Linked DNA regions of Mus musculus. The protein of the gene in region 1 interacts with the protein of each later gene in a pairwise test. Links are inferred from orthologs where the notes say so. Each region holds a gene or a part of one and is shown on either strand. Other genes may lie near its edges.

Region 1 (3,361 bases):
ACACACACACACACACACACACACACACACACGTGCTCGACACCTTTGGTTTTTTGTTTGTTTTCTGAGCTTACTGGTTGATTCACACCTGTCAGCCTACCTTTCTGGAGGCTGAGGCAGGAGGATCAGCCTGGACCATACAATTAGACCCTACTCCTCACCCAGCCAAGGCCAAAGGCTGTCTGTCAGTATCTGGATCTTCAAGTGATTGTCATTACGATCTTGGGCAGATGACTCCAGGAGTCTACACCTCTGAGAAGGCCGGCCCAAGGTTAGGGAGGGTTTCTGGAGGTTCTACACTTTCACTGTTTCCTCTTGACGGGCCCCCTTTCTCCCTCCACCCCTGCGTCTCCGCCTCCAGAGACTGCCTCAGCCACCCAGGCGCATACCTGCCGCCTCAGTTCAACCGCAGAGCCAGCGGCCAGGCTAGGGCGTCCAGCAGGGGAGTGCTCCGCCCCATCGCCCCACTTCAGGGGACAGCCCTCCGGCTCACTCCCGCCCCCGCCAGTGAATCACGAGAGGCGGGGCCATGACCCATTCATGCTGGGAATCGGATCCAGATGTTCTCCCGGCGCGTGCAGCTGCTTCCTTGCCTTTTTTGGCAAAAAAACGTGCGGCCGCGAGCGGATCCTGAGCCGCCCCCACTAATCCTTGGGAAGAGGGGGGAAGGGGTGAGGGTCTGGGCCCAACTGGGTATCAGAACTCGGTGCTTGTACGTCGGGTTGAGGCAGGGCTGGTGGGGGTGGGGGAAGATGTGTACCAGACCTAGAAACCCACTGCCTCTCGGCTCTGTCTGGCACCTCTCCCAATCCCTCCCTTGCTCACAGAGGAAAAAGTCCTCCGCCAGCAGTGGGGAGGTTGGCCAAGCTCAAGAGGGACCCGCGTGGCTGCCAGAGGGGATCCTCTTCCTGGGGAGAATCCCCACCCCACGGCCCGCCCACTAGGAGGTTTCAAAAGCCTGACTCAGCCACGCAACCTTCCTTCATCCTCTCGACAAATACACGGGGCCCGTGCTCCCCTCACACTGCTTTATTGCAATCTCTGGAAACAGGGCGAGCAACCTTCCTGCTTCCTGTTGCAGGGCAACATGGAGCTGAAATAACATGGTACTCAGAGGCTGGACAGCACCCTGTACCTTACAACCCTCTAACCAGGGAGCCCCTAATCTGCTATACATACAGCTGCAGCTCAGAGAGAGCAGTGGGATGGGGGTGAGGTCAAACCGGGTGTACAATCTATTTTTGAAGACTTCTTAGGCACCTGCAGAAAAACTAAAAAAAAAAAAAAAAAAAAAAAAAAAAAAAAAAAAAATCTACCCTAGAAGTCTTGACTTAAAGAGGCCTAGGCCTCAGAGTTCAGGTTTGGAGGGCTGGGGTGTCAGAGCCTTGATGTGGGGAACATTTCTGGAATCCAGACTTGGAGAAAGGCTTAAGTCATGGGTGTTCCACAACAGCCCAGATTTGGGGGCCTGGGTCGGGGAGTACCACTGGGGTGTGTTAAAATTGGGTGACTGAATCCTGAAGTCCCAATGAGTGGGGAGCGGGGGTTGGGGGAGGGCCCGTTCTAGGGAGGGGTTGGGCCCCAGAAGTGGTTCAGAAAAGGCGCCAAAGTCTTGAACTCTTGGTTTGGGAAAGAGGAGAGTCAGGATCCTCCACTCAGGGGCCTGCTTGGCTGCAGCCCTGGCATAGAACTTGATCTCCGTCTGGTACAAAGCCTTGGCCCACCAGGGAGGTGGAGCAGCGGGCACAGGAAAAGCAGCTGTGGTGCCAATGTCGGTCTTCGAAGGACACATACTTGCCTCCACCGAGTCCTGGAGGAAGGCTGGAGGTTAGCTCTGCAGGTCTGGGGGCCACTGCTGCCCCTTAACCTCACCCGTGTTACATCCGAACTCTTACCTGCGCCCTCGCCGCCGCCGCTCCCACCTGTGATGGGGCGCTTGCAGCTGCTGCACTTGGGTGCAAAGAGTTCTCCAAAGCAGGCCACACAGTAAGGATCATCATCCCGAGATGTGAACTGCTGCCCTGCAAGGGGCGTCTTGCACCCAGTGCAGACCAGGCACTCTCGGTGCCAGGGCTGATCACGATATGTCACTCCACCCTGGGTCAGCGTCTGTGGGGACATCATCCATCAGCAGGGGCAGGGCGGGGTGAGGACTCCCACCCACAACAGGTCTTACCCTGAATTCCCAGGCCCAGCCCCAACCTTGCTGCAGCGGGCACACCGAGGAGCAAATTTGTTCTCATAGCAAGGCACGCAGTAGTGGGCACCCTTGTCAGGCACGAAGGAGCGGGAGCCCAGCGGCTGCTCACAGCCACTGCACAGAAAGCAGTGTTCATGCCACGTCTGGCCTCCATACTCCAGCTTCCGGGACCCTGTGGGGAACAGGAATCCCACTTAGACTCTGGCCCAAACTCGAGAGGGCCACTCTGCCAAGTAGAGTTGTAGCCATGGACACCAAGCAAGACTACTACCATGAGCCGGGCAGTGGTGGCGCATGCCTTTAATCCCAGCACTCTGGAGGCAAAGGCAAGCGGATTTCTGAGTTCGAGGCCAGCCTGGTCTACAGAGTGAGCTCCAGGACAGCCAGGGCTCCCTGTCTCAAAAAACCAAACCAAAATACATACATACACACTTACTACTACCATGTATGTTACATACGCCAACCTCTCCCCTCAAACTTGCAAGATGGTACAGCACATGCTAAGCACACATGTTAAAACTCCATGTCTTTGACACTACTATTTTTTTTTTTTTTTTTTCCGAGACAGGGTTTCTCTGTATAGCTCTGGCTGTCCTGGAACTCACTCTATAGACCAGGCTGGTCTTGAACTCTGACAATACTATCTTAACATATGCCAAGCCTCTGTGTTGTTCCAGTACATGTTAAATAAGCCATTAAGTACCAGAACTACCAGTATAACACTCACGCAAGATCCCACTAACCAGGCAACCGCCTACACAAAGCCTAATGCCCTGGGTATGACATGTTCAGTACACACTAAGCCTTTGCATATTCTAGGTCTATCATTCTACACATGCTAAATCCCCACATGCATTAAGGTCACCATACATTTGAAGCCTATAGTTTAATCTCTGCCCCCAAAATGTCAATGCGGCAAGCCGGAGAATCTCAGTACACCAAACATGTGGGTCTACACACACACACACACACACACACACACACACACACACACACACACGCTAACGCCCATGTGTAGCAAGCATGCCAACCGCTATGCATCTGTTGAGTCCTTATGTGTTCACTAGGCCTACTGGTCCGATACACCAGCCGCTATGCATCTGTTGAGTCCTTATGTGTTCACTAGGCCTACTGGTCCAATACACCTTTGGTACTTGCCAA
Region 2 (4,792 bases), about 38 Mb from region 1:
CTCCTTAAGGAATAACACCTTCCTCGGCTATGCTGAGCCCGAAACACTAACTAATTGCTCATTTTAGAAAACTTAAAGTAAACCTATTTTTAAAAAAAATAAAAAAATAAAAATAAAATTCAAGTAAACTTCTGAACCCCAAAGGATTTGTTAGACCAGCTGACGCGTCTATGAGGATTGACTGAGAAAACACTGCCATCTGGTGGTCAAACTTAAGAACTTGCTCTTTAGCAGCTAGTTCCCAGCAGAAAGACTGTTTTGTTTTTCAATTTTTTTTTCTTTTATTGGATATTTTCTTTATTTACATTTCAAATGTTATCCCCTTTCCAGGTCTCTCCCCCATCCCATCCCTCCTCCCCTGCCTCTATGAGGGTGCTCCCCCACCTACCCACTCACTCCCGCTTTCCAGTCCTGGCATTCCCCTACACTGGGGCATCAAACTCCCACAGGACCAAGGGCTGCTCTTCCCACTGATGTCCAAAAATAGAGGCCTTCCCCCACTGATGAGTATCATGTACTACAGGTGAGATCATATTTAAGGAGCTAGCCATGGTGACACATGCCTACAATCCTGGCAGCAGCAGGGCTGAAGCAGGAGAATCATGAGTTGAAGGCTAACCTGGACTACATAACAAAACTCAAAAGCCAAAGAAACGCTGGGAATAGTAATATGGGCCTCTAATCCCAGGACTTGGGAAATGGAAACAGAAGAAACAGAAGTTCCCAGTTATACACAGTGTGTCCCAGGCCAGGCTGATCCGGGGTCTTTTGGAAGAGCAGACAATGCTCTTAGCTACTAAAATAGTTCTCCAGCCCTCAAGTGGCTGGAGGAAGTTGGGGAAGCCCTCAATTGTAATTCACTGAAGTAAAATGGCATCATGTGGCAAGCACTGGAGACAGCACCACTCCAGATTGTATGTCCCTAACGGACTCCACAGATCCCACCACCATCCTACAAAGGTGTGTTCTGACTACTCAACAGGTCAGTATCACAAAGCATACAAAAACAGAGCTTGGCTGTTCCAGAGCACACCATCACTAGATATGAAGCTGGCATACACATAGCTAAAAGACCATAGGAAGTGGGGTCCTACCTCTGTACTAGGTGGGGTCTATAGGACTGAGCCAGACGGGAGTCTTATAACATGAGCAAGATCTTAAAAGGTTAGGAGGCAGAAGAAGGTAGACGCATTTTCAAAAAGGGGAAAAAAGCAAGACAAAGGAACCATGAGTGGAGACCAAAAAGTTTGCTTTGAACTCTGAGATGCCCCATCAAAATCACAGGAAAAAAAAAAAAACTAAAATAGACTAAGCAGGCAGGAGGGAAGACTGACCAACATGAGAGTCAGACCCAAGGCACGTGACAGAACCGTAAAGTAGACACAGGAGGGGGAGGCAAGGAAGGCATGCCAGAAAGACTTTATATCCAGTGGAAGGAGCAACTTTGCAGGGTGGGGGAAAAAGAGAATCTGAGGACATCAGATAGGAATGGAGGTGTCATCTGACTCTACGTTCCTCACCCCTGATGAGTCCCCGTCTTCCTAGACTACATACTGTGCAAAGATGGGACTCAAAGACTTCAACCCCACTCTTCTGAGAGCAGAGATGGAGCCAGGAGTGATGCAAAAGGCCCCACAAGGAAGCAAAGTCTTAGAAAAAAAAAACAAACTGAATGTTCGGTAGTATGAAAAATTAGCCCTGGACACTGGCTGGTCCCACCTGACAAACCTCGAAAACAAGAGCCACACTTGTAGGTAGCAGAGCTCAGAATTCTGGGAAATGGCAGTATCTATCTGGAGTCTGCTGATGGGACTGTCCTTAGAGATTGCTCATGAACAGCTGGAGCAATGACACCTATTTTAAAGTTCCCAGTCCACTCTAATGAGCACTGATTCCTGAGAATTCAAAGTCTTCTGTTTTCAGAGTGTCCTCTTAACCTATTCTCCCAAATACAATAATTTTGTTATTTCATGTAACATATGTAGCTGTAAAATCCTTTGCAGATCTTAGGGTATTAACAGAATAGATAGAATCCATGTGCATAGACATACACCCTATCCCTTCACTTGTAATAGTCCTGTGAGGAGAGTATTCCTAGGGAAATTTGAATGGGGAGACGTTCGGTTCCTAGCCCAGATCCCACATTTAGTGACAACCCCAGAGGGCTAGTCCCCGAGGCCACTCCTTTCACTTGGTCTTAGCCAGAAGCCTGGGAAGCAAGTTTATGTACTGCCCCTTCTGCTATCCCCTGGCTGGCACAGCCCTGCAGTTCCCTAGCTGTCCTGGCAAAGCAGCCAGAAGGACCATCTCAGAGACCGCAGCCCAACGTTCCTCTCCAAAACCCTGCCTTCACTGTGCTTTGCACCATCATGGCCCTGAAGACAAGGGGCAGAAAGGCATCCTGCCCAAAAACTACAGCGAACTCGCCCCTGGATTAGCTATTTATTTCAACACTGCAACAGTTGGTGCCCGTGCACTATGGCTCCCAAAGTACCAATTTCTGTAAGTGAGAAACTCACCCACACAAAAGAACTATTGTTCTAACAATTGCAACAGAAGAAACAAGACCGGCCCCAGCCTGTCCAGGGTTTCCATCATGTCTTAACAGCATGTAGACAAGGCTGGGCCCAGCCCACTCTCAAAGTGCCTGAATCTCTACCCTGCAGAAAACACACACGCGCACACACACACACACACACACACACACACACACACACTACCTGATCAGCGCTGATTCGACATGTGTGCATCAAATATTAGTCAACAATGTTGCAGTTTAAAACCCGAATCCAGTGCGATGCTGCCTAGCGAAGCAGCGGGATGAAGAAGACACATCCTGTCTTCGTTCCAGGAAAGGGGCTTGGCACCCTAGGGAGTGTGAAAATCAGGCTCCCCTCCCCAGATTGCCCTTGGGAGGACTACCTTACCCGCAGGAGCACAGGTTGCAGATGCAAGTCCTCTTCCCCATCCTTCACCTCGGACTTTCCACTAAGGCAATCGCCTAGAGGATCCCAGCTGCCTGGGACAACGATCACACTTCTTCGGTGCCTTGACCGATGCTGTTTTGCTCAGAAGGAAACTTAGGTGGCCCTTTTGCAAAATTCTGTAGTCTATTCCTTTCCTGAGGCTGGCCTTGGGCAAACAGGCAGCACTTAGCACAGACAGCAAGCCAGGCCGGCTCACGTCTGTAAGCTGCTGCCACTGCGGCCAGTGGGAAGCACCCACCTGCCAGCACAGCCTGGCCCCTGCAAGCCACAGGGCCCAGGACTGAGTCCTCTATGACCTTCAAAGTCACAGAGGAGGGCATCTTGAGGTGGCAATGACATCATAAGGGCCTCCTGTGAGGTCAGACTTCACCTAGTATCTCACCTGGCAGACCCAAGACAGGGACTCTCCCACTGGAACTTGGAAGGAAGATGGAAGATACCTTGGAGGGCTTTAGGAAGCCTCCGAGTCCCAGAGTTAACCAACAGCACGGTCACATAATGCAAAGACAATGAAAAGTATCTTGTCGGGTGGCACTTTCCATCCCTAGGACACATTGTCCGTCTGGAGGAAATGCATGCCCGGACCTCCAGAATATTGACCCTGAATTCCATCTCCAGATCTTCCTGGAAAATCTATACCTGGCTGCCTGCATCTTGGAATTGCTTTCAACCACAGGCCTCTGCTTTTGAGAACAAAGCAGCATGAGAGGGTCCAGCCCTCTATTGCTCAGGTAATGACGCCTAGAAGCAGGGACGTCTCAAATGTTAGCAGCATCAGAACCTCAAGGCTTGACAAAAATCAGATTGCCAGACCCCACCCTGAGTTTGTTGTTTCTGAAATATGGGTTCCAGAAAACACGTGTCTCTTACAAGTTTTTAATGATGCTACTGATGCTGGCCCAGAGCCCACACTTCAAGGAGCGCAGCTATGGAGCTTCTATTGTGGCCTCTGACCTCTCTTCCCTAATATCTAAGCCGGTCCTGAAAACCACTGCAGACCTCTGCCCTGGAATCTCCTGTATCAAATAACCACCAGTCAGAGCACATGATGGCTTCAGCCTGTGATCCCGGCACAGACTGAGGCAGGAGGGTTGCTGCAAGGTCAAGGCCAGCCTGGGCTACAAAGTGAGACTTCACTCTATTTCAAAGCAGTGAAAACAACTATTCTGGGAATTGTGTTTTCACAAGATAGCAGCTTACTCTGACAATAAAACAAAGTCAAGGGCCTCTGCTCTCGAGCTGGGTGTGGCAGCACAAGTCTAGAATTCCAGCATCTGGGGCAAGGAGGCAAGTTCTGGGCTACATGGCTCTCCCTTTCTCAAAAGCAAGCAAAAGAAGTGCGGTAGCATACCATACAGTCTACTACTATAGGAGAATGTTTGGACTTAAACATTACTGTTTCTTTTTGTTGCTTTTATTTATTTTATTTTATTTTATTTTATTTTACATTTGCTTATCGCAGGTTCTGGGTAAAGAGAGCCATGTGGGCCAAGACTCATGTGGAGATCAGAAGACAACCTGGAGAAGTTGGTTTCCTCTTTCTACCATGTGGACCAGAGAGCTGGAATTGATGTTATCAGTGTGAGCTTCGAGTGTCTGAAGAGTCATGGATTGCAGCAGTGCTGAGCTGCTGTGTGCTCTGAGTTCTTTCTTCCATCGCAGACTAAAAACCGAAGTCAGCAAACCACTGCCAGCTGCTGGAATTCCACTGGTACCTGGTTGATAGGGCCCATACAGGAATACCACTTACTGATCAGTCTTAAGTACAGCAAAGTTATTTCTTGCCTTTCTGGTTAAAGGGAATA
Region 3 (4,828 bases), on another chromosome or scaffold:
CCTCTTCTGGCCTCCACATCCATATAAAATAAAAAGAAATGAAAATTTAAAATAGACAAATAAAAGCAAGTAAATCAGATGGCTCGGTGAGCAAAAACATATGTCACCTAGTTGGATTTCAGTTCCTAGAACCTACACACAGTGGAAAGCATGCCTATGCACACACCCATGTACGCTCATGTCCACACACAGGAAAAAACTCCCCTTACAATTCACATAGTGTATAGTACTCAAAACTATCCTTTAGGTGTTGGAGTAGCAGCGGTAGAGTGCTTGCTTAGCACATAGAGAGCCCTACATGAACGTTAGGCCCCAGCCTTAGTACAGTTAACAGATAAAGAAATCATTCACTCAGACTGATGGGGCTCCGTATGTCTGTGCTGTGTCAGCATTACCCTCCTCTTACTCCCGAATGTCTCCATCATCACAAAGAGAAATCCTACAAACTGGGCATGCTGGCACACAACTGCAATCCCACCTATTGGGAGGCTACAGAGGGGGATATTTTGAGTTCAAGGCCAGCCTACTTGATACAGTGAGACTTCTCAAAAGCAAGGGTATTTCTATAACCATTTTTTTTTTTTTTTTTTTTCTGAGACAGGGTTTCTCTGTATAGATAGCCCTGGCTGTCCTGGAACTCACTTTGTAGACCAGACTGGCTGAGAACTCAGAAATCCGCCTGCCTCTGCCTCCCAAGTGCTGGGATTAAAGGCATGCGCCACCACCACCTGGCATTTATTTATTTATTTAAAAATTAAGAAAAAAAAAAAAAGCCCCCACACACAAAAAAACAAGTTCTTTCTCTCTCCCAGCATCTAAAAATAAAATAAGATCCATTGTCTCTATGGATTTACAGGTTCTGTATATTTCATAAAAGCACACCGTATGTGCCTTTGGTGACTGGTGTCTTTCGCAGTCATGCTTTCAGGGTCCTTCTGTGGCCATACTATGCACCAGTACTGCCTCATTTTTTATAGCTGAATAATATTCCACTGTGTGGCTATGTCACATTTTGTTTACGCATTTATTGCTTGATGGACGGTTAGCCTGCTCCCCTTTCTTGGCTGTTACGGATAATGTTGCTACAGACATTCACGTACAAATATTTTGAACGAGTATGTTTTCACAGTTCTCTTGTGCGTACACTTAAGTCTGCCTGGAACTGCTGGGTTACACGCAAGAATCATTCTTTCAACAATAATTAGTGACTGATAATCTTTGCAGTCTTCCTGGATCTCAATTTAACATAATACCAGTAACTTAGGTTTGTAAGGAATTAAATGAAATTGTGCATCTACAACCAGTCTAGCACAGAATCTAGCTGAGCCTCACCCTGGTCCCTCCCTAGGGACCTTCGTGTGGTTCCTGGAGTGGGACAAACGTCCGTGCTGGCCACACTCCTTGTCTCTGGGGCCCACGGTCCACTGCAGAAGTCGCCGGAGGTCCCGGCCATAAACCCCAAGAGATCTGGGCTCACCTGCTACTGCTCCCGCCACTCTTTGAATTGTCCGCAAGACCCGGAAGTAGATCTATCCCGGTAGCGGAAGCAGACTTCCCAGCCTGGAAGTGAACGTGAAGCAAATATGGCGGCGGCGGCGCTTACGCTGAGGACGCGGGCAGCAGGTAGCTCAGCACTGTGGCTATTGCGAGGCGAGACAGCAGGGAGGCTGGGAGATGGAAACTGGAGCCCATGGTGAACCTAGATACGGGGAAGAAGTGAGGGGCTCCGGACCTTTGGAGGGCGACTGTCTCCGGTCACGTGACACGTTGTGGGCGGTGCTTGCGGAGGGTGGGAGTGCAGAATGAAAGCCCGTTGGATAGTTACTCCAGAAGCTCTGTCCCCTCTGGGTTTATGTGGATCCCTCCGGATTTGAAGAAGACTAAGTTCAAAACATTTAATTGATATTCAAGACTTAGCTTTTTTCCTTTCCTCGCTTTTGAGGTAGGTTCCCACTGTGTAGTTTGCCGTCTTAGAGCTGGTATTTCAGATGTCTATGACCATGACCAACGCTTAGGTCTGGTGAGACACTGCTCAGAGTACCAGCATAAACATGGTTTCTAACGCCTTGTGAGTTCAGCCAGTAAACACGTGAGTAACTTAGTTGTAATCTCGAATAGTATTGTGAAGAGTCTTAGATTAGGGGACCAAGGAAGTCTCTTGAAGGGATAGCAATTTAGACCTAAAAGAGACAGACCCAACCAAACCTGTGTAGACAGAAGGCAAGAAAATGACTTGACTCGGTTTTACAGTTTTGAGGAGCCAATTAAGAGGAGGCAGACTGGGTGCAAATAAATAAATGAAAATGAAACCAAGTGGGACCAGGAATAGTAGTGCCTATAATCCCTGCACTTAGGAGCCTGGGGCAGGAAGATTTCATCAGATCCAAGGCCAGCCTGGGTCACAGACTCAAAAGCTATAAATAAATAAAATAACATAAAATAAAATAAAATAAAATAACCTACACAGAAAACCATCTGCAAGACTTGCTATAGGATAGATCATTTGGCCCAGATATTAGTGGTGTTGGTAGAGAAGCTGGAGGGTAGTGGGTGAATATGACATCTGTCTGTTCTGAAGATATAGATTCCACAAGTCTTACTGCTCTGTAAAATGAGGGAAGAGAGTCATCTGTAAAGTCTTGTTTTTCACAAGAGCAGAGACATATGAGTGAAACAATGTAGGCAAAAGCAAAACACCAATCACCAGTAAGTGAGTGGGTGAAGCCAGGAAGTGCATGCCTGTAACCTCGGTTATATGTGAAGTAAAGGCCTGAGGATTGCAAGTTCAAGGTCTTCATGGGCTACAGGAGAGGGGGGAGGGGATTCCATTCCATTGCTGGACATTGAAGATGTCTCCTAAGTTCTTTTTTTGTGATGTTTGTTTGTTTGGAGACACTGTATCACTATGAAGCCCTGGCTGTCCTAGAACTCAGTCTCTAGACCAAACTGGTCCTGTTGTCACAGAGATCTGCCTGCCTCTGCCTCCCAAGTGCTAGCATCAAAAGCTTGCCTGTGCCACCATGCCCAGCCTGCTCTCTGAGAGCTAGTCTTGTATCCCAGCAACTTTCTGTTCTTATGGGAATTTGAGAAACCTAGATAACCAGTGCTATGCCCCCAAACACCCATAAAGCAACTCTAAATGGGCTGATACTAGATCCTAAGATCCTATACTATGCCTAGAGACCTAAAACAGACAGCCTGGATTTTATTTTTGTGTATGAATGTTTTGCCTATGTGTATATATGCATACCACACGGTATACTTGGTACCAGCAGAGGTAAGAAAAGGCCATTGGATCCCCTGAAACAGGAGTTACAGATGACTGTGGACCACTACAAAAGTGCTAGAAACTGAACAGAGGACCTCTGCAAGAGCAGTCGCTGCTGCTAACCTCTGAGCCATCTCTCTCTGGCCCCATTAGCATGCATTTTAGATAATCTTCTTTTAAAAGCATTTTCATTTAATCTTTGAGAATTTTGTTCATGCATACAATGTATTTTGATCATCTCTATCCCCTTCAACGCCTCCCTCATAATTTCCCCCTTTAAAGAAAATGGTGTTGAGTCCTTTGGGATAATGGGTGGAGAGGCCCAGATTAATGCCAGTCTTGGTTGGACATCTGCTTATGGACTCTGGGAAAAAAAGACCTTTCTGTAATGGCCAGTTGCCTGCGGGAGCCACCCTCTGACGGACGGGCTGCCCTTCTGGTGCAAGTGTCTGATGTGTAGTGGGTGAGTGGATAGCTAAGACAGTGGCAAGTGTCTGATGTGCATGGGTGAGTGGATAGCTAAGGCAGTGGTAAGGGAGGCGGAATCAGAGGCAAGCCTTGCACATCTTGTACGCTGCCCTTCCCTTGGCCAGGAAACTGAATCTTCTAAGCAGGCAGCTGTCTGGTGTCCATTTCATCTGTTTCTGTGCTGTTTGTTTCTGCTCAGCTGGACTGGATGTGTCAGGAGCCAGAGCATAGACTGTTCTCTCCCCCCCCCCCCCCCCGTGATGCTCACTGCCTGCTCTCCCTAATACACAGACCACCACCACCACCACCCACCCGCCATACCATGGTTACCTCTGGGCCAATTCCAGGGATGAATTGCTCCCTGCCCAGGCATTCCCTGAACACCACACACTTAGCATCTCTGTTCCTTTCACACATCTCTCATTTTTCCTCATCTCCCTCGCTGCTTCTCAGCTTGGCAAATGGTCCACAGAGACAAGAAAGCGCACTGCATTCGGGAGCCTCTCTGAGCAGGGTTTCGCTTTCTCTGCAGTGACAGCCCTGCTGAGCCCCACAGCACCCACAGCACTCGCTGTCAGACATGCATCCAAGAAGACAGGTGGCAGCTCTAAGAACCTTGGTGGGAAATCACGAGGCAAACACTACGGCATCAAGAAAATGGAAGGTGAGGGCGTGCCTTCCTTACTGTTTTCAAGCCACAGCCCACAGTGCTGCCCTGCCCTTTCTCAGAAGAGCAGAAATGCTACTCAGGGGCCTCACTCTCCTGTCTCTCTGCAGTTCACTGTGGCACTCATCTCCACATGGGAGGAGCAGGGACCCCAGGGAGTTGCAGTTTCTTAGCCATGCAGTCAAAAAAGAGTCTGCTGGATTGGGGTCAGGTGCTGTTTATGTAGGGCCATCTTAGTGGTCTATCCAGGAGCAGGCTTGGGGTTTGATGGGGACCCTTGGGCTGCCATGACTTGTCAGCATTTTGCTGGGCTTCTGTGAACACTGGCACAGAGTCGGCTCACTGTGGACTTCTCTTTCAGGTCACTACGTTCACGCTGGCAACATCCTTGGCACTCAGCGTCAGTTTAGATGGCACCCGGGAGC

Evidence for each region.
Region 2: the proteins of Fhl3 (region 1) and Saxo1 interact in binary tests that used the Homo sapiens proteins (3 or more experiments, as listed by UniProt). The two-hybrid records come from large-scale screens. The link is inferred for Mus musculus from reciprocal best matches to the Homo sapiens genes FHL3 and SAXO1.
Region 3: the proteins of Fhl3 (region 1) and Mrpl27 interact in binary tests that used the Homo sapiens proteins (3 or more experiments, as listed by UniProt). The two-hybrid records come from large-scale screens. The link is inferred for Mus musculus from reciprocal best matches to the Homo sapiens genes FHL3 and MRPL27.

Annotation. Positions count from the first base shown.
Region 1 is NC_000070.6:124,706,265-124,709,625, reverse strand, and holds the end of Fhl3 (four and a half LIM domains protein 3), read right to left. Parts: intron 2,373-3,361; coding exon 2,203-2,372; coding exon of another isoform or gene 2,177-2,202; intron 2,110-2,176; coding exon 1,896-2,109; intron 1,811-1,895; coding exon 1,656-1,810; 3' UTR 1,015-1,655; downstream 1-1,014. UniProt on the Homo sapiens protein: Recruited by SOX15 to FOXK1 promoters where it acts as a transcriptional coactivator of FOXK1.
Region 2 is NC_000070.6:86,555,048-86,559,839, forward strand, and holds the start of Saxo1 (stabilizer of axonemal microtubules 1), read right to left. Parts: upstream 3,257-4,792; 5' UTR 2,969-3,256; coding exon 2,928-2,968; intron 1-2,927. UniProt on the Homo sapiens protein: May play a role in the regulation of cilium length. Stabilizes microtubules at low temperature.
Region 3 is NC_000077.6:94,652,219-94,657,046, forward strand, and holds the start of Mrpl27 (39S ribosomal protein L27, mitochondrial), read left to right. Parts: upstream 1-1,572; 5' UTR 1,573-1,583; coding exon 1,584-1,623; intron 1,624-4,268; coding exon 4,269-4,400; intron 4,401-4,764; coding exon 4,765-4,828.